Linked DNA regions of Bombyx mori. The protein of the gene in region 2 interacts with the protein of the main gene of each other region in a pairwise test. Links are inferred from orthologs where the notes say so. Each region holds a gene or a part of one and is shown on either strand. Other genes may lie near its edges.

What was found.
Region 1: the proteins of S-phase kinase-associated protein 2 (region 2) and cyclin-dependent kinase regulatory subunit interact in a two-hybrid assay, tested with the Drosophila melanogaster proteins (2 studies listed by BioGRID). The link is inferred for Bombyx mori from reciprocal best matches to the Drosophila melanogaster genes Skp2 and Cks85A.

What each region holds. Positions count from the first base shown.
Region 1 is NC_085113.1:13,344,304-13,354,801, reverse strand, and holds cyclin-dependent kinase regulatory subunit, read right to left. Parts: upstream 5,550-10,498; 5' UTR 5,438-5,549; coding exon 5,379-5,437; intron 5,001-5,378; coding exon 4,778-5,000; 3' UTR 4,423-4,777; downstream 1-4,422. Other genes in the region: uncharacterized protein LOC101737863, read left to right, coding at 8,723-8,800.
Region 2 is NC_085117.1:557,533-568,710, forward strand, and holds the end of S-phase kinase-associated protein 2, read right to left. Parts: intron 8,452-11,178; coding exon 8,314-8,451; intron 7,843-8,313; coding exon 7,686-7,842; intron 7,381-7,685; coding exon 7,251-7,380; intron 6,300-7,250; coding exon 6,128-6,299; intron 5,344-6,127; coding exon 5,253-5,343; intron 4,198-5,252; coding exon 4,073-4,197; intron 3,388-4,072; coding exon 3,228-3,387; intron 2,676-3,227; coding exon 2,556-2,675; intron 1,949-2,555; coding exon 1,882-1,948; 3' UTR 1,871-1,881; exon of another isoform or gene 1,775-1,870; intron 1,702-1,774; 3' UTR 310-1,701; coding exon of another isoform or gene 159-309; 3' UTR 156-158; downstream 1-155. Other genes in the region: partner of xrn-2 protein 1, read left to right, coding at 159-309.

The DNA.
Region 1 (10,498 bases), on a different chromosome or scaffold from region 2:
GTAAAATTAAAAGTTAAATTTCAATGGAACATGTACCAAATCAAATTAGTTCACAGCAGTTGTTTGTTTTTTTTAAATATTAACGATAATCGTATGCAACGCTTATTGTATAAATAAGGGCGCGCCATTGTTGCAGTACGTATCGTGATTGAGTCGAACTATCCGCCATTTCTGTTATTTTTTATTTGACGTGGCAACTCTTTCAGATTTTCTACTATTTTCGTTGTCCCCCCCTAAAGCTAGCGCCAGTGCTGCCAGAACACAGCAATCCAACGAAAAAGACAATGTAACGAGCATTTATATATTATATTCTATATATTTTAACAATAAAAATTGTACCGAAATGTTTTTGGTACTAAAATAATAATATTTTAAGAACATATCTTGTTAGTATTATACCTACTTACAATCTTTATTAATACATTCATATCACTGTTTGGATACTCTCATATCATTTTTGCTATGTATTGAAAATAACAGGCGCGTGTTTCGAAATCACGAAAATTTTTACGAAAATGCTTTTAACGATGTTACCAGATCGATGCAACTTTGTACTGTGGTATCACTTTTTCTACAATATTTAGTAAGCTTTACAGCTGTAATGATTTATACAACGGCCAGATGTTGCGATACCCGAAATGGCCTAAGTTTTAGAGAAAAAAAAATGTATTAAAAAAATTAAAGATGGACTTCACAAAGGTTGTCACGTGTCGAAGCTGTCTCTGCGGCTGTAACTGTTCGGATTCGTTGAAGGTTTATAGTAGTGTAGTTCGTAGGCGAATTGTATGATTATCAATAATAAATATTAAAAATAAATTAAAACATGTAACCACGTGCATGTGTATGTTATCGATTTATTGTTAGATATTAAAACAAAATATTAATCGTGCGCTTTGATGCAAATTGTAATGATTGTTGGAGGCAGTGACTCGTCCGGAGTTATCGTCGTTCAAGTGTTGTTGTGAGGAGCGTAAAAGCAAAACTACTTTCAGTCCACCGTAACAACAGTTGCGTCAGGAGATCAATCAATGCCTACAGCTAATGAGCAGTGAGAGCATAGCCGACATTGATATTAAACTCTTGCTAGTTTCCAACCGGTACGCAAATCTGCAAATTAGCTGACCCGCTTCCATCACAATGAATAAATACTCCATAATTCAATCATTCTGCGAAGTGTCTGTGCTTTTATACGCCTGGCACTTGAACGAGTTGGTAGTAATCGAATATTAATTCTCCAGATAATCGTAGAACAATAGAGGACCCTTCTTAGAGATTATACTATCCAACCTTTTTCACTATGAAACGGCACACCGACACGTTTAGGATATATTTGGGATGAGATGATATTATCCCATCCCACGCGTACATGTGTCTAGGATGCTGCCTATCCTTTTTAGATAAGATATATTCGAAATGATGACTTTTATACGAATGTTAAGTGAAAACCTGTTAAAGCTAACTTTATAATTAAGGACTTCCGATATCCATATCAAATTATCGTTGTTTTCATTCGAGACGTCACGCTACATTCGTTTTTCGTAATGGCAACTTACTATCGGCTTTTTTTAATTTTAAGGGAATACAATTTTATTTTTCAAAAAAACTTTTTGTTTTATGCGAACTACTAATAAATATATATAGTAACTAATATATTGTTAATAATTTTATTCTATTATCATTTAGATGTAGGTTTCTTTCTGTTTCTCAATATTAAAAAAAGTTTCCACGACTATAAATTTTACTTGTCGCATTTATTTTTATATTTTACTGTGTTTTATGATGTTTTAGATGTTAAATGAAATCCCAAATAAACATTCAGCATAGTAAAGGTTTTGTTTTAATTTTTAAATAAATCCCTCTTCCTTCTCCCTGATTGCTCCACACGCGAGTGCGCTGAGAAATTGTTCGAAAGGATTCCACCATCCTTCCTACAAAAGACTGTCCATCACTGCAACAGATTACACCACCCATACTCAGCAGTAACCATTGTCCACAGCGCGTTCCGACACCCGGATCTATAAGAAACTCCCCTTTACGGCTATAACATATCCTTCTGAAAACGAGGTTAGAAATTCTTCGACATAAGCGACTTAAATATTGTTGATGTCCATGAGCGATAAGCATCTTAACGATAGCCTCTTAAGATCAGGGAAGCCGTAAGCTTGTCTGTCTTCAAAACCAATCAACCGTAGTAGATACGTAAAAGACGTTTGACGACACGTGCTGCTAACGAAAAAATGAAAAATTTTGAAATGCTCGGACGTGAATAGGTAAAAAAATAAGAATACGTACATATTTATTAATAATTTATTCAACAGCTGTCATCTTAATTCATTAATAAAAACTTAAATCAATATACAATTACATTTGTAATCAATAAGAGAAAACTAAAAATGCAAAGGCAACGTTATGTAACTGAATCTAAAATACATCGTGTTTCAATAACAAGGTCTGTAGATAATAATTAGTTTCAGATATAGACTTATTTCTCTTCTATAACGCTGTATTTAGCTGTTAAGGCAAATTAATACGTTACAAACACTTAACATTTTTTTATTTTAATAATTTAGTTAACTTTTTTACAGGCTTAATGAACGAAATACAGAGAGGGTAGACAGATTTAAATCCTACCCGCAGTACACGTCCGCCCGTAATCATGGCGTTTGTATTGTGAGGAAGCCAATACTATTTGTAAACACGGATGCTTACAACAGTATGTGTGTTGCACAATCACAGTATTCGAATAAGGAAGACAACAATAACTGTTCCTATCATTTATACGGACACGTACGCCTTAAGTACACGAGTTATCTTAAAGCGATGCCTCCAAGGAACACTAACACAAAATTTTAAAATTTTCGTTTTTCACGCAAATTGCTTCACTATTTTAAAAGTATTACAAATTATTATTGATGGGGTTCGAAGCAAGAGTAAACCATAAATATATCTGCAATAATAAAGATTTTATAAATTTTTTTCGTTTAAACACTCCTCCTGTAAACCTACGAATTTGGAGTTAGCGTAGTGTTCATAGGAGGCATCGATCTTAAGATAAAGAAAATACCTTAGATGAAACAGACGCAGATTCAAACATAACTGTTTGATGTTCTATCTATGACTCCTGCAGTCTTTGTATCATGCTAAGAAAAAATTATTAATTAGTTTCGCGTTTGCAGCCAAGCCAATTTCGTAATCAACTGAAAGGTAGAGGAATATTTTCTCAAAAAACATTCGTTTTTAGGCAATTTTCAGTCATTTTTCATAAATCGAGATACGAAAACCACAGCATAATATATTCTGTTTTGGATTAAAATATGTTCTGTACAATATTTTTTTAAATAATTACTGCTGATATTACCGGACCTACCACGGTCTTCGATTTAAAACAAAGACAGTGGTACTAGCCTAAGAAACTATAACTGTTTGCCCTCAAAATTATCAGCATCAATATTGATGAAGAATTTTTTTACTATGAATTTACTACAATAATGAAAGATTTGGATTGTTCCGGATGAAAATACAAAAGTAAATTCTATGTGGAAAAAATCAAGTGAACATTATAAAATACTATTTGTGTTATGGTAATTGAAATTTGGTTTTATTTCTTTGGGGATCATTTGAACTACTACTATTTAACATTGAATGTAAAAACAGAACTAACATTAACAGTTTTCTATTACTACAATTTTTCAGTATATTGATTTTCCACTAGAAAAATAAATGTTTAAAAATAAAATAAGGCATATTAAGGAAGGATTGTTTTAGTCAATATTTCAAGGTACAAGACAGAATAAACAAGAAAAACCCTCCGTTTTGTCAGTTTTTAAATCATAAGGTTTATACAAGAGTTAGTAACTACATCTCTGAATGTGTAATAGCTAATGCAGAATAATATTTTAGAACAGAATTACATTCAATAAAATCATACTCACTTTGGAGCACCCACCCATGTGATAAGTTGCCGTTAAGTTCACAAAGAACTTATACTACTTAGATGTAGTCTACAATAATTTATCAGAAAACATAGTCACACCGAGTAACACTATGCTGATGAATGGTAATTATTTTCATAGAATTTATATTTAATGTAACACAAGTATTCTCTTAACATTATTTAAAAACAAATCTTCTTCTTTAACTAAAAATCATGTAAATACTTTTTATTCTATCATAAAAATAATATATTCTGCTATAAGTATTAGTAGTTGCATGTGCTAAGTTTTACATTCATTCAACATTTGATACAAGCATTTTTGTTAAAGTTTAATGAGTTCTGATTATATTGCCTACTCGCAAATTATATACTGGTACATTTTTAATGTAATTATTACCTAACACATACTTAGTGTTAATATTTCTTTCATAAACAGGTATCTAATGAATATGTTAACTTCACAGTTTTGTATTTCTTAATATTAATTAGGAGGTCAAAGTTAAAATTCTATCTATGGTTAAATTTATTCTCAATAATAAACAAGTAACAACTCAATGTACTTTAGTCTTTTTGTGTAGAGCTTATGAGCCTCATCCAAGCTCCTCCAGAGAATTATCCACAAACAAGCCTTTGTGTTATCCAAAGTCATGAATAATTTTATTAAAACCCCCGATTTGAATTTAGACTGAGACAAAATAAAGTAATATAATAATAATTGATGTCTGCTAATTTATAATAAATTGAAAAGTTTTTTTGTTTTGTCTTAACTATAATAGTTTCAATAAGCAATTTAAATAATATTAAGCTATGACACCTAAAAATATGCCTATGCAACAAAAACAGTCAAACCTTCACAGCAGAACTAGTATTTGTATCTAAGCCATTCAAGGGAGCCGGTATATCAGTTCTAGGTCTTCTAAATAATAGAACATGGGGTTCAGGATTATGCACCATAAAGTGGAGCCAGCCGGGACTCTGCTGAACACCAAGGTTTCGCCACTCTGTCTCTGTCATAAGATGGGATTTTGGCACCATGCGGGCTATATCCGGTGGTAAGATGACATGCCTGGAAATATTTTTTGGGGTTTCATAATTTATACAAACGTGGATTAATTATTTCACAATTACGAGGCTACTATGACATGATGGTGGCGTAACAGATGGTGACGCTTGTATAATGAATAACCAGATTTATCAAATGTAACTATGATAATTACACATTTACAACGGCTTAATTTTTACGTCAGCGTTTTAATTTTACTAAAAAAGGATTGCACCCAGATTACAAGGAGACGGTCACATGTTATTTACTTACACACAACTGATACGGCGTTCAATTAATTTCTTCAAAACAATGTTTTATCCAAACTAAATATGTAGTGTTTTAGTTGCTGTTAACCATTAAATTAAGGAGACATGAAAGAAATTCACCAAAATATTTTACCTGTATTCGTAGACGTCATCTGTATATCTTTCCGAATATTGAATCTGGTCCACGGGCATTACTGTAGTTTTAATTAGGTACGTCGAATAAAATTAATAATTTTCAACAGCGCTAAGGGTTAGAATAATTTTTTAACCATACGGTTTGAATTTCAATCGTTTCGATTGAAATATACAATATCAGCTGAAGTTCAATTGAATCTTTCAGCGGAACTTTATTCAAGTTTACTCAGTGCTCTTTGAATGAAACACAGACTACACAAAAGAAACGTCAGTTGTCAATAAATTCAAATGACGATTTTCTTACAATTCCAGGCGAACGTTCATTGTCAAGTTATTAATATTATTATTATTTATAGGTCTACCAGAATCTGATGGCAAAAAAAGGGAAAAAAATAGCGATTTTCATATGGCAAAAAAAAATGCCATCTGTGAAAAAAGTGAAATTTCGAGGAATTGTTTTTGGTTTGGCTTCAAATTTCCTTTAAAAAGTGGTGAAAATGTCGAAGAAACCTCTTCGATCGCAAGTATAGTTTTCAATATTTATCAAAGAATACTTGATGAACAAGGTGCAGAACAATCACAATCATTGGATCACATTGAGCCATGTGCAAGCGTTGACTGGTTAGTAGGAATGACATGTCTTGATACTTTGGTTTATTGCATTTTTCGTGTGTATTAATTATGTATACTAAACTTTGGTTTATTTCAGGTGTTTCTAATACTACCATAAGACGAATTGTTGCTGAAGGCAACTGAGGCGTATTTAGTACCCCTGGTAAAAAGAGGAAAGGTGGCAAAAATACTGCGCCTTCCTCGTCTTTCTCTTCCGATTAAGACTTTTATGGATGTGCAGTATTTGGAACCATTTTCAAGTTCTGATAGCTTATAATTAATTATTAAATTCATGAACAGAGTAATTGGAGTTTTCGTCTAAATTTCGAACCCCACATTCGCCACAGTAAGATTTTCAAAAATTATCTTTGATCATTGCATAAATTTTTATATTTGCATGTATCACACAGAATCGGCCGCTATAAGAATTTTTTTTATCAATTACTCTAATTTCCCCAATATTGCTAGCGTCAATTTCTTTTTTCCCTTTTTGCCATCAGATCCTGGTAGACCTATAATCTGTTTTTAGGATTTCTTCGGCTCCTTACGCGTAACTATCTTGGCATTAGCTTTAATTAGCATCTGCGAAAGTGCAAAAAGGGAAAAATACAATATTAATGCGACGTGGATTCAAGGGTTTTTTGTAAGCATTCCTTGAACTCTCAACAAATTCCTACATCCATAAGAGAGTTTTTTAATTGCTTTGTAAGCAAATACGACTCAATAGCGAGTCACCGTCGCTCATGGAAATTCACAATGCCAGAGGCACAGCTCAGCCATTGCCTACTGATAAAAACGTTGCAGGACAGGAATGGCGCAGGATAATACAGGAGAAAGTTGTAAGACGAGCCACAATTCTCAGCAATGAGGATTATCGACAGAGGAGGACTGATAAAAAATCTCCTCCACCCTAATCTGAAGAAGGATATATCATATCGCACGATAGTATTTTAGAGGGAAGTTAATCCAAAGATCAGATGGCGAGTAGGTACCAAAAAAGACTTTTAGAGATGCACTGTAGAGTGGGGACGAACGAAGTGGTAGATATAGGTGAACTCCAGTGACAAGCGGTGCGACGATAAAAAGACAACGGAATAATCACAAACAAAGCACTCGCGATTGAAGTTACGTTATAAAACACAGCTATAACTGCAGTCCCTCAATATAACTGGTCCCACCGAGTTGGAATCGCGACCCGCTGAGGTTATGTTTTATTTTTCTCCTCTGCCTAATTTTGGGTAGCTTATGGGGCTATTTCAACAACTGACGGACCGGTAGGTGAGCTCACGGGCTCAACCAGAGAGAATAACTAACACTAACCGTAGCAAGAGCAGGGCTTCGCTGAATCTACCACCGGATCAGAAACGCGAATCTACGGGCTACGTTACACCTCGAACTCTTCTTGTACCTACTGTAAAAACTGAGACCAGAAACTCTTGTCTCATGGTAGGTGGCGGCAGTTACGTGGTTGATGTCTGCGGGATTCTGTAACCATTTAAAACCCTGTGGACCGTGAGCCCGGCTACCAATCTTGGCAATAAAATATATTAGACTGAAATAAAGGCCAGGAACACGCGTAAAAAGATAAAATATACTTTTTTGATGTTATAACTGTTTTACATTTAGCAAGTAAAATTCAAAACTGTGTTCGACTATGAAAGAAATTAATTGGTATAGTATCGGTGTAGTCCTAATTAGACGATAATTGAATTAGCAATCAAATCAGTTTAAACTAACATTTATCTGTGACACGATCTGAAAGATCTTAAATGGCTCTGCATCACTTCCATATGCATTTAAACTGATCATTTCACGATCGTAATTCCCCCTCTAGTTAAACAGTTTACGCAAGGGATGTACGAGGCATATCCGAGCGCTTAACTATAGTTAAACTGTGGCGCATTATTCAATCACCAGACCCCAATAAGGAATGTTCGATCGTGGGACTGTATGCAGTAGCCATTCTTTCATATTTATTATAAACTTTAAGTTTACTAACTGATGGTAGGACCTCTTGTGAGTCCGCACGGGTAGGTACCCTGCCTGTTTCTGCCGTGAAGCAGCAATGCGTTTCGGTTTGAAGGTAGGGGCAGCCGTTGTAACTATACTGAAACCTTAGAGCTCATATCTCAAGGTAGATGGCGGCATTTACGTTGTAGATGTCTATGGGATCCGGTAATCATGTAACACCAAACAAAAACAAAAAAATAAAAAATCAATTTTTGGCACTAGTCAATTGTTACACATTACATTATTCATTGAACATTACACTTAATTATCATGTAGACTACTTAATTGGCGTTTTGTTGGTGAGATAATTACCAAAAATCAGTTTAACAGAACATAAAAAAAAATACGTCTTAGAATATTGAGGCTGATGTCCAGGTGAGTATAAATATAAACATAAAAAGGAGAGTATGCGCTCATGTGCATCCTATATACTCAATATGACCACTGATGGTATCGGCAATGTCTGGCGGGGTTGCCAAGATTAATATAAAAAGCTTATTATATATTTTATTATATTTTTCCACTACGAACGTAATGAGCCTACATTTTATATATATAAATTAAATAAGACTCGAATAGAACAAACAAATTTATAACTGTAGGAATATCCCAATGCTATATACAAAGAATGGTCACCAATGATCTGTAATGGAGATCGTAGCACGCTATATCCACATCAGTCCAGTTATCTAGTCCTCACGGCATCTGCTGGTTGTAAACATGAGTGAGATCACGTTGGACTTCCTCCAGGCTCTGCTCAAAGATGAATATCCTGATGTCATTCTTCGTTCTTTCGAGGTGCGTATTTTATGAGGAACGGAGCTATTTTGGCTGTAAAAAATAGAAATAACTAAAAATCATGCTATAATCCTTCTAAAGGCTTCAAAAAAAGAAGGCTTGCCAGAATTGCGTACACCATTTTTTGCATTAGCAACATGGGTACCTACGTATTGTAGTCCTTACTGGCAAACGAATCCAAAACTCAAGTTATATTTAAAACAAAAAAAAACCGGCAATAAACAGTACCGATATTTAAATGTGACCGTCTAAATAAAAAGAGGGACGCTCAAATTGGATTGAATACGGACGTTGAGTACCTATGATCCAAACATCAACGAATTAATATTCTGATCATTCAACAATGAACAAATAAGTCAAATATCTACTAACTCAACCGAGCTTACTGGTAGTAGGACCTCTTGTGAGGCCGCGCGGGTAGATTCCACCGCCCTGCCTATTTTTGCCGTGAAGCAGTAATGCGTTTCGGTTTGAAGGGTGGGGCAGCCGTTGTAACTATATTTGAGACCTTAGAATTTATATCTCAAGGTGGGTGGCGCATTTACGTCGTGGATGTCTATGGGCTCCAGTAACCACTTAACACCAGGTAAGCTGTGAGTGCACCCATCAAAGCAATAAAAAAAAAAAATTTTTTTTTTTAAATTCTATTGTTCTATTTTGTAAGCTGTCGATATTTTTATTTTATTTTCCCTACCTTATCTTTAATAGTCTAAGGGCTTATTCCAACTACCACAAAGCCGTTTTTTTATTCCCGTACACACCGTCACTTATGATACGACTTATAATTATAACAATAGCTTTCACATATTTGCTAAACCTAAAACTAAAAGTCTAAAAAATAAACTAAAATTATTTGAGAAATAGTATACCTACCTAGTAGAACGAAAATTCGATTCGAGTCAAAAATCTACGTAACTACTGAATTTGAATAGTGTAAAATTAAATATAACCTATGAGTTAGACTATTTAATTGTTCAAAGCCAACCATTGATATACATAATTTATGAAAATACTATTAATATTATGTATCAGGAACAGTGTGCTTAGTGCGAGTTTTTTGAAGTGAAAACTTCTTTAGAATCGTTGTGATTTCAAACCGGATGCAACGGAAAAAACGACAGGTTTTTTTTTTTTTTTTTTTTTCCCTACCTATGCTGATAGCCTTGAGAGGCTATTTCAGCTTCACCCTAACGTTAGTAGGTGAGCTCGCGGGGCTCAACCGGAGAGTTGCTAACACTGACCCTAGCAAGAGCAGTGCTTCGCAGAATCTACCACCGGATCGGAAACGCGACCCACTGAGAAGATCCGGCGAGAAACTCAGTGGGCTGTGTCTATGGGTTAGTTCGCTCGTCGAGCCCTTCGTCGCAAGCGACGGGTTCGACGAGGACGGTGACCGGTGCTTGTGGTGCCTAAAAGCACCGTTAATGGATCAGGAGGATCCGTAATGACGTGCTTTGGGCGACGTCGACGGTTTACCATTCGGTCTACTGGGTCGGGTATGTAATTTCCAGCGGCTACGATGAGAGGGTTCTCATGTCGTGCCGCCTTCTCAAAATGGCGCAGCGATGCCGACTGTAGATACTTACTAAAAGAGTCGAGCTCCAGGTCGTCGTGGAGATCCACATTCCTAAGGAACCAAGGCGCTCCGACGGCTATCCTGCAGAATCGTGATTGAATAACCTGAAGGGATTTCAAGTT
Region 2 (11,178 bases):
AAACCAGATTGCTTCGATTAGGTAGGATGATGGTGTCTATGTGTGGGCTTATAAGATACCCTACCATCATATTTTAGTTTTTTTTTCATAATCTATATAAAATAAATAAAAAGTTTAACCTGATTGCTCCCACATACTAATCAACATATGTTTTCCAGATATCCACCTCAAACAATGAAACGCATTTCGGTATTGGCCGAGAAAGTGTCCGCCAAGTACAAGGAGAGCAGAAAGAATAAGTTGAAACGAACTTTCGTGCAAGCCAGCGATGCGGCCGAGCAAAAAGCTAAACGTACCTTCAAGAAATAGTATTAACTGTACAAATACTTGTAACTATACTTGAGACCTTAGAACTTATTATTATCTCAAGGTGGGTGGCGCATTTACATCGTAGATGTCTATGGGCGCCAGTAACCACTTAACACAAATAAATGTTTGGGTCTATATGTGTTCGTTATTTATCTAATTGTGCAAAGTTTACTGCAACAGTTATCATTAAAATTGCTTTCATGGTTTATTCTCAAATTTATTTCGTATTGTTACACGGGTTCTGGTTAATAAAAATTCTGCCGAAGTACAAATTAAAACTCTATTTAACTTAGAAAACTCACAGAACAGTTTACAATTCGTAATTCGCTTTTTCCGCTTTGCTCCAAATCGCATATTATAATTTGCGTAATTATTGGTGGTAAGACCTCTTATGAGTCCGCACGGGTAGGTACCACCACCCTGCCTACTTCTACCGTGAAGCAGTAATGCGTTTTGTTTTGAAGGGTGGGGCAGCCGTTGTAAAAGAAAAACCTTAGAGCTCATATCTCAAGGTGGGTGGCGCATTTACGTCGTAGATGTCCTATGGGCGCCAGTAACCAATTAACACCAGGAGGGCTGAGAGCTCGGTCAACCATATACGCAAAAAAAAATGCAGTCCTTAAAACCTAAAGCTTAATTCTATATCTTAAAACCAAAATAAATAATACCACCCAGAAATATATTTTTTATTGGCTTTGTAGGCAGCCGAGCATACGTCCCACCCGATGATGAGTGGTTACCGTCGCACATGGGCATCATCAATGCCAGGAGCAGAGCCTAGCCCAGCAGAGCATACCATTAAAATGCCATAAAATGCATTATGCAAAATAAAAATTTGCTGTCGCAGTATGCCATTCTCTGATACGTTTCTTACTTTGGTGATACTCATAGGAAGAGAAGGTTTAACTATTCCACGCCATTGTATCAATGTCAATGTGTGTTATGGCTTGATAATCAACTGGATAGGACCCAGTAAGTCATATTGTAATAGGATAGTTTTATATCAAGATTTTTCTGGGCCGCTCTGCTGTAGCCGCTGGTAGATTACTCAGTAAGCTGCACTTTCAATTTTAATCTACTATAGCTGTGTTATATCCATTATTATTATTATTATTATTATATACATATTATCCACAATCTGCCTACAAAGAATATTGCGGTATTTTGGTCATGTTGCACATAGGGATACCAGCAATTTGGAACGCCTTGTGGTGACCGGTAAAATAGAGGGAAAAAGGCCTAGGGGTAGAGGTCCCAAACGATGGTCGGACCAAATAGCGGAGGAACTGGGGATACCTATCAGCGACGCACTCCACCGGGCTGCAGGGCGGGATCGATGGAGACAGTTGGTTGACGAAATCGGACGGAGTCACGATCCTCAGCAGTGAGGGACTGATCGAAGAGAGAGAGAGATAGCTGTGTTTACTTTAGTCGCTAAAGTGTTTATAAATAAAAGACACAAGAATGAAATCACAACATAATATAATAAAGATGTATTTAATTCGATCACATTTGTATAATGTAAGGTTTTCTATAACTTAAATAAAAATAAAATACATACATAAAATATACTCAGTCTCTGGTTCTTAATCCCCACACTGAAGAGCGGCGCGTGCCGACCGTGGGCCTCGCTATGGCGCTGAGAACGGAAACAATAACGATCTAAAGATATATTTTTTAAGAAAAATGTTATTATGTTTTTTTCAATGGATTTTATGACCTGGCAACTAAGACCTTTAGGTTTATGAAAAATGATGGAGTAAAATGAAATGAAATGAGAGTGATTAATTTGAGACATTAATCAACTGGGATAAAATATAATCTCAGTAAAATGGTGGTCGTTTACTGAGACTTTTTCAGTGGAGGATCCCGAGAAGTTACGTCCAGTGGTTTTGTTTAATTTTCCCACGTTTGTGCACTCTCAAGCCTTGTTCGGACTAGGCGAGCATTTTAGTCGAGTACCGAGTAATTTAGTAGCTAAATGTGTCTGAGCACCAAAAATTTAGTCGAGAAGGTTAGTAAATAATTTAGTCAAGTCAATCCATTTTGTTCTATTTTTTCGGGCGAGTAGTTTAGCCACTAAATTACTCGGCGCTCGACTAAACTAATCGCCTAATCCGAACAAGGCTTCATAGATACTAAACAGTTAATAAACCACCGTTATTACACGTTATTACAACTTTGAAAAACACTAAATCAACGGATTTCAGTCACTAAGGAAACTTGGGTTTTTCTTTAATAAATACCTGAACATGAAGTGGTTGATCTGGATCGATGGTAGATTGGCTTTTAATAAACTAAGATTTGGAGCTTGCAGCATCCCCCAAACTTCTAGGTATCGCAGAGAAGGCATCGCTGACAATTTACTGCAACAATGTTAGTTTACGAATAAATCTAGAGTTTACTTGAACATAGTATTGAGGAGTGAAAGGATATTTGGTTTAAGCGACATTTAACTTGGTAATTAAAGGTGCAAAATCTATTGTTTGGTGTTATCATCACGGTTAGACCGTATTCGAGGAATTACACCCGCTAAAAACGACGACTAAAAATATTTTTAGTATGTTGGAGACAGTCATTAGTTTGGTAGCTAAAGGAAACGCAGCACGATTCCCGAGAGATGGCAGCGCCGTCGGAACTCGGCTAACCTCGTGCTACGACAGAGCCTAGCCGATGGAGGCGAGTGGACGCCATCACACTTACCAACCAGCATTCTTGAAGAGCGGCGCCTCCGTCCTAAGAACTGTCATTCGTTTTCGTTTGCTAACGTCAAAAGAAGATTTCTAGATTGTTCTAAGATAACAAACGTGATTGGTGTACTCAATATTTCTCTTAGCTCGGTCACCCTATTCGCCCCTACGATGTCTGACGATGGTGTTAATAGTTGTGGCCTCTCCGACATATGTATGGACACTTACGAAAGCGTATGTCCGGAGAGCATGTAGCAGCGACTGAGGGCCGCGTGCTCGAGCCTGCCCAGGGTCACCAGACTCTGCAGCGCGCGGGGGGTCAGCCGCGAGCAGTCCGACAGGTCCAGCTCGGCCAGGCGCGGGCAGCGCGCGCACAGCCGCTCCGTCACTGGGGAACACAGAATATAGAGTGAAAACGCTTATTCCATATTACTTACAGGATCGAAAACTTCTTAGAAATTATTTTGATGAGTTTCATAGACAAGTTTGAAGTCGTCGTGGCCTAAAAGATAAGAGGAATTATTTGAGACGATTCCATCATCTCGTATTTATCATCGCACCACCCGCCATCGGAGCTGAGGTCATCCATACTACCTGAAGCCACTGCGTCCTTATCTTTCTTCAAACGAAGCTTGTGGAGAGTACTTAACGGTAGGCAGCGGCTTGGCTCTGCCTATGCTGAAGTCCATGGGCAACGGTAACTATTCACCATCAGGTGGGCCGTATACTCGTCTGCCTACAAGGGCAATGAAAAAAAAACGTCCGGTGCATTCGTATGTTTTTTCCCTACCTATTCTGGTAAGCTCGAAGATACTTAGATGGGTGGACGAGCCCACGGCCCAACTGGTGTTGAGTGGTTTTCGGAGCCCATAGACATCTACAACGTAAATGCGCCACACACCTTGAGATATAAGCTCTAAGGTCTCAGTATAGTTACAACGGCTGCCTCACCCTTCAAACCGAAACGCATTACTGCTTCACGGCAGAAATGGAGGGCGGTGGTACCTACCCGCGCGGACTCACAAGACTTCCTACCACCAGTAAAGGTTCTCCGGATCATATTAATTGCTTACACTCATCAGTCATAATCCTGGCTCCGCCGAGGTTGAGCCGCTGCAGCCGGCGCGGCAACATGTCCACCAGCACCTGGAGAGCCGCCTCGCTCAGATTGCACCACGATATATTCAAGGACTGTAGGCTGAAAATTCCAAGGGGGTCTCGTCATGAATTTTCCAAACAGATACATAATATTGTAACGCCGGTAAGAATAACGCCATCTATCGCCGAATAGTCGAATGAGTATAAAAATACGTACAATGCCATCTATTGTCAAATAGCGGAAACACAATACCCGAAATGCGTGGAATATTCTGGAAAATTCTAGGGATGCGGTATCGGCTATAAAAGCGTTGCAGAGACGGCACGCAGTCAGTCAGTAATCGGAACTACTCGAAGCGAAACAGAGAACGGATCACCCGAAGGGAAGCGGAAGAAGAAGTGTTCTGTGAGTGTTTTAAGTGATAAATAGTTTTAAGTTGTACTTCGGTGGACCATTTATTCATCCCGAACCCCAGCGCTTCACAATATAATTTGTATACATATTACTAATGTGAAAATGTTTTAGGATTTTTTTTTATTTTTTTATATTTTTTTTATTGCTTAGATGGATGGACGAGCTCACAGCCCACCTGATGTTAAGTGGTTACTGGAGCCCATAGACATCTACAACGTAAATGCGCCACCCACTCGAGATATAAGTTCTAAGGTCTCAGTATAGTTACGACGGCTACCCCACCCTTCGAACCGAAATGCATTACTGCTTCACGGCGGAAATAGGCGGGGTGGTGGTACCTACCCGTGCGGACTCCCAAGAGGTCCTACCACCAGTAATAATTTGCAATCAAAGTTTCCTGTTACGTTCCATAAAATATAAAATTAGTTAAAAGATAATTTAGTTTTAATGGCATAGATGAATGAATCAGCTCATGATTCAAATTACCTAAAAAGTTATCAGAGCCCGTAGGCATCAGCACATCGTGAGTGGACCTGCAGATGCCATCTTGAGACATGAGCTCGGAGTGCCACCCTTCAAACCGAAACGGATTACTGCTTCACAGCAGAAACAGGCGGGGTGGTGGCAGCTACTGCTCTCACAAGACCTTCCACCACTAGTGATTAAATACTAGACAAGGTATTTTTGGCTAGGATAAGGACTAATAGACCGATCTATTAATGTAAGCAAATAAAACTCACTTCACACATCCCTCAAGTAACGCTCTCGACCCTTCTGCGGTAATCCCTTGTGCCATTGTCATGTTTAATGTCTCCAAATTTGTACATCTACCTGAAAACACAATTACATAACTTGTTATTACAGCTGTAGACCGCGGACATCACCCAGCAAATTGTTTAATTGTTTAATGTATATTGTAAGTGAAATTATTTTATTTATATTATTTTATTTTATACAGTAAGCTGTCTTAAGATATTCTACCGTAGTTTTGAGAAAAGTAATTTCCGTGCAAATTACCCGTGGTTAATCACAAGACGTCCTACCATACTATACTGTTACGCCGGTAATAGTAACGCCATCTATCGCCGAATAGTCAAACGGATATCGAAGGACCTAGAACGCTCGAGAAGTACAACGCCATCTATTGTCACCTAGCGGGAACTACAACTACTAGAGATGTGTGGAATATTCTTGATAATTGTAGGGATGTGGTATCGGCTATAAAAGCGTTGCAGAGACGGCACGCAGTCAGTCAATAATCGGAACTACTCGAAGCGAAACAGCGAACGGATCACCTGAAGCGAAGCGGAAGAAGCGAATTGAGAGTTCTAAGTGTTGAATACAGTTTTTCAAGTTGTCCTTTGGTGAAATTTTATTTATCCCGAACCCTCAGCACGTAACAATACTATACGCTGTAGAGATATACGACAAAGGGAAGATCTTCCGCCGAGCGGGTGATATTTGCTTGGTAGACCGACGGTCCGAATATTGCTGTTCGGAACTTGTATATATGCGAGCTTATCTTGAAAATGTCGTAAGCGAGATTCAGGCATCTGTCAAATATCTTGTGTTCTTACCGCTACATACGCACAGGACCAATCCAGGAGCCACTCACCCAGGATAGCGCAGGTAGTGTCAGCAACGTTCACACTCTCCAAGCTCAACTTCTTCAAGCCGGGACAGTTCTCCAGCAGCCGGTCCAAAGTCTCCAGCTGTATCGAGCACATGCTCAGGTCTAAATATTGGACGCGGGACGGCGCTGTTGACCCCGAGCACCACGAACCGATCTGAAATAAAAAGTTTTATTTATTTATTGCCGTATAGGGCAAACGAGCATACGGCCCACCTGATGGTGAGCGGTTACCATGAAGTGTGTATACTTATATATTATAGCATAGCATAGCATATCATTTGGTATATAACATAATTAATAGGTGTAATCTCGTATGTCCCCCTAATAAGGCGGACCACCCAGAAACATAGGCTTCTTCATAATTGTAAACTAGGATTAAGATGATAATTAAACATGGAATACACGCAAGAAGACGTTTTTCTTTAACACCTCCAAATGTACAACATTACAATCGTCGCCCATGGACTTAAGCAATACCAGGGGCAGAGCCAAGCCGCTGCCGCGGGGGCACGAGTAGCGCCATCTGTCGTCAAATAGCAGAAACGACTGGTGCTATCGGGAATGTTCTCGATATTTGTAAACTTGTCGTGTGGAGTGTCCGAGCTGTACTGTACTGTAAAATAGAGTTTTTTGTGTTCTCCAGTTGGAGCACCGGGTAATGAATACTCCAGAGGATCCTAAGGATCCAGAGGGTCCAAGTTCGAAGGGGAATGGCGGCGAGTAGCGGGCGAAGCGCGGACGTACACTCGTGTGTCCACTTCGACGGTTGTGCGTGAACTCATAGATAATACACACAAATTAGTTACATATTAGATAAGCAACTCGAACACTCAACAAAAATGTTTACGGGCATCGGCCACTAGATGGCTTCGCTTCGATTAGTTTCTCATTGCTCCTGTAGATGGCAGTAACATATTTATTACCTATCCTATCCTATATTTTATTTTAGTGAAGGATTTTGTAAATTTTCAGAAACCACAAATTGATAAAATTTAATCAATTTGTCTATAGCAGATAAAGACTTGTATGATTTATTATTTTTTTATTTTCCGTGTTTAGTTGTAAATGATAATAATTTAATGAAGAACGATTAGAGGCAGCTCACCTCCGAGCTGGCCAGTCTGACTATGACCGGCTTCCTGTCCAGGATCTTCCCCAGGGCGTCTCTAGCTATCGCCTTGTTGCCGAGGTCCAGCCGCTGCCACAGCGTCTCGTCCGAAGCTATTCGGTACCACCTGGGACCGAACACACGTACCCACGTTATAGTGAATCGATAACCGACTGCACGTTGGAGGTGTTACTGATGTTCTAATTGTCACATGTCTACTTTAGTAATATTAGTTTTATTTTTCCAACTGGAAAGGCAAAGGTATCATCGTACCATACAGCCTAATCTTTTTTTGATGACACGTATGATATTAGTACGGATGTCCGTCGTAATTATAACCAGCTCACTCACTAGCCCACTCACAAACCAAGCCGTACTGAGTTGTTACTGAGACTGATAGGTCCGAACTCAGAGAGAATTCAAGTGAATTACCTCTTACAGACGAGCATGCAGTGCGCGAGCGTGCGCTTGGGCAGCCAGCGGAACACGCTCAGGATCATCTCGTCCGAGAGCACCGAGAAGGAGTCCGCGCCGCAGCGGCGGGGGGCGGCGCCCCGGGGCTGCGCCGGCCTCCGCGCGGGGGACGACGCTGCGGACAAAGTCACCGAGTTGATATGTGTGGCAGGTAGCCATTATACAACAACGCAATATTTTTGACAAATGCCTGAATCTCGCTTACGACATTTTCAAGATAAGCTTGCATATATACAAGTTCCGAAGAATAACATTCGGACCGTCGGTCTACCGAGAAATATCACCCGCTCAGAGGAAGATCTTCCCTTTGTCTTATACCTTACTTTAGATCCTCTTTCTTCGTCACAACTTAATCTAAACGCAAGGACATGGGTTAAGTTTCAGTTTTACAGTGCATAAGCTTCGCAGAAATAGACAGGGTGGTGGTACTTACTGGTGCAGATTCGCAAGACACCCTCTCGCCGGTATATTTAATGAAGTTAACAACATGAAATACCCTTGTAGACCAGACCGGGCCCCAACTATCTCCCTATCAGCAAGCCCCAGCCCCATGGATAATATGAATGCTTGGACAAAGTCAACTAACGTGTCCTGACTGGGCTGGGATGCGCCCGCTGCTCCCTGGGCACGTAGGCGCTGATGCACTGCGCCAGCGGGGTCTCCTCGTCAAACGCGATCCCTTCCACTAGAGTCGTCTCACAGTCCGTCTGCTGCAGCGGTTTGCCTGCAAAACATCAATGGAGTTTGAATTTACTTTAAGACTGCTTCTTAAGCAAAACTAGTGACCTCATATACATATACACATTTTACTGGTGGTAGGACCTCTTTTGAGTCCGAGCGGGTAGGTACCAGCGCCCTGCCTATTTCTGCCGTGCAGCAGTAATGCGTTTCGGTCTGAAGGGAAGAGCGGCCGCTGTAACTATACTGAGATCCTAGAATTTATATCTCAAGGTGGGTGGCGGTAACTACGTTGTAGATGTCTGTGGGCTCCAGCAACCACTTAACACCAGACGGGCTGTGAGCTCGTCCACCCATCTATACAATAAAAATAAAACGTGCCCGCGCTAAGACACATGCATACAGGTCTACACCTAATACATGTAATCGAACTGTCGATATTTCGATGTTCGGCACTTTATACGCGTTAATAGAGGGTCGATATACCGACGGTAAGCGCTTTAACGGTTAAACCGTAAATTTACTTTAATTAGTATTTGTTGAATGGATGTTCCGTCAAAGTGAGTATAACTCCGGTACCGGTCAGTGACCCCGCGCCCCACTGAAGCCGCTCGGTCATTGACCCCGCGGCTCTACATTTTATTTATTGTATTACTAATGAAACCCAGTCCACTGTGACTATAACTGATATATGAAGACATATCTTTTTTTTTTTATTGCCTTTGTAGGCAGACGAGCATACGGCCCACCTGATGGTAAGTGGTCACCGTCGCTCATGGACGTCAGCAATGCCAGGGGCAGAGCTAAGCCGCTGCCTATCTTAAGCTTACTCGCGCGCCACCTGTCGTGGCTACGAGAATATCACTGACTGGGTGCTGCAGTGATTAGGATAGATCGGTGTAAACCTGTGTGGAACAGCGCCCCTAGCGGAAAACGTTCCAACTCCATACAAAATTGAGTTAACTTTTACGTTATCACCATAACCACTTAGCACCAGGTGGGCTGTGAGCTCGTCTACCCATCTAAGCAGTAAAAAAAATATATGCCGTATTGGGAGAGGCCTACGTCCAGCAGTGGACAACAATGGGCTAATGATGATGATGACGATGATTTTTGTAAAATTTTTAAGTTATTTTTTTTTTGATAAGGTATATTATATTGTTAGGTGAAGAAAGTAATGCATGAAAGAGGAGTGCACGCGGTAGAGATGCGAACGTTGAGATGGATGTGTGGAGTGGACAAGAATGGACAAGATAAGGAATGAGTATAGCAGAGGAAGTGTGATAGTAGCCCCGGTAATCAACAAATCAAAGAGCGGACGGTTAGCGTGGTATGGACATGTGCTGCGTAACGACGAAACTCACGCATGTGACTAGAAGATGTATGGAAATGGTAGTGCAAGGTAGAGGGGGAAGAGGACAACCGAAGAAGACATGGATGGAGTGTGTGAATGACGAGATGAGAGAGAGGAGTGAGTGTTGAAATGACGGTTGATAGAAGAGACTGGAAGAGAAAAATTAGCTGTGCCGACCCCAACTAGTGGGATAAGTTGGAGAAAAAGAAGGTACATTCTCTTTTTTTTAAATATGTGAATATAAACTCAGCGCTAAAAAGTTTAATTTCAGGTTTGTTACTGACAGTACATGTGATGTTACAAGCACTATACAGTTTTATTCTTCGGGGAATGATATTAATTAAAACCAAAATGCTTACTAGGAAATAATTAGAACATACATATGCATAATTTTAATAGAATAGTGTTATTACATGGTTGACTTGGTGGTGCAGTAAGTTAGAACGCCTGACTGTTTTCGTGGAGAATCATGTGTTTGATTACCACATTGGGCAAACATACTTGTAATAAACAATTTTGTTTGGTGTTTGTCAGGGTGTTTATTATCTATATATGTATATTTAAAAGTATGTCAGTCCTGTAATACAGGGAATCCTAAATTGGGGCTGGATGATAGTGCATGATTTGTTCTCAATTTCTATCCTATTATTAATATCAGGCATGCAAATAGATAGACTGATAGAGATACAGTTATCAATACTAGTACTTAGACTAGATCCTCTTTAAGCAGGATGGAAAGTATTCGTACTGTTATATCCCTAGCCTGTATAGACTAATGCTTACCAAACACCTTACTCATCATAAGCTCTCTCACAGTGATTTCATGAGAACATACCAGGCTCAGTTCGGGTCAGATATTCATTGAAGTGAGACGTTTACCAATTTTCCTCACTATTTCTAAATTCTTTTATTATAATTAATTATTCATTAAAAATATTGTGTAGTTTCGAATAAATCCTTTTTTTTTAAAAAGTTCGGCCTTCTCACTACTAACAGTACCCTGGACCATAGTCGTCGTTGAAGTCGTCGTGGCCTAACGGATAAGACGTCCGGTGCATTCGTGTTGAACGATGCATCGGTGTTCGAATCCCGCAGGAGGGTACCAATTGTTGTAATGAAATACGTACTGGACAAATGTTCACGATTGACTTCCACGGTGAAGGAATAACATCGTGTAATAAAAATCAAACCAGCAAAATTACAATTTGCGTAATTACTAGTGATAGGGCCTCTTGTGAGTCCACGCGGATAGGTATCACCACCCTGCCTATTTCTGCCGTGAAGCAGTAATGCGTTCCGGTTTGAAGGGCGGGACAGCCGTTGTAACTATACTGAGACCATAGAATTGATATCTCAAGGTGGGTGGCGCATTTACGTCGTAGATGTCTATGGGCTCCATTAACCACTTAATACCAGGTG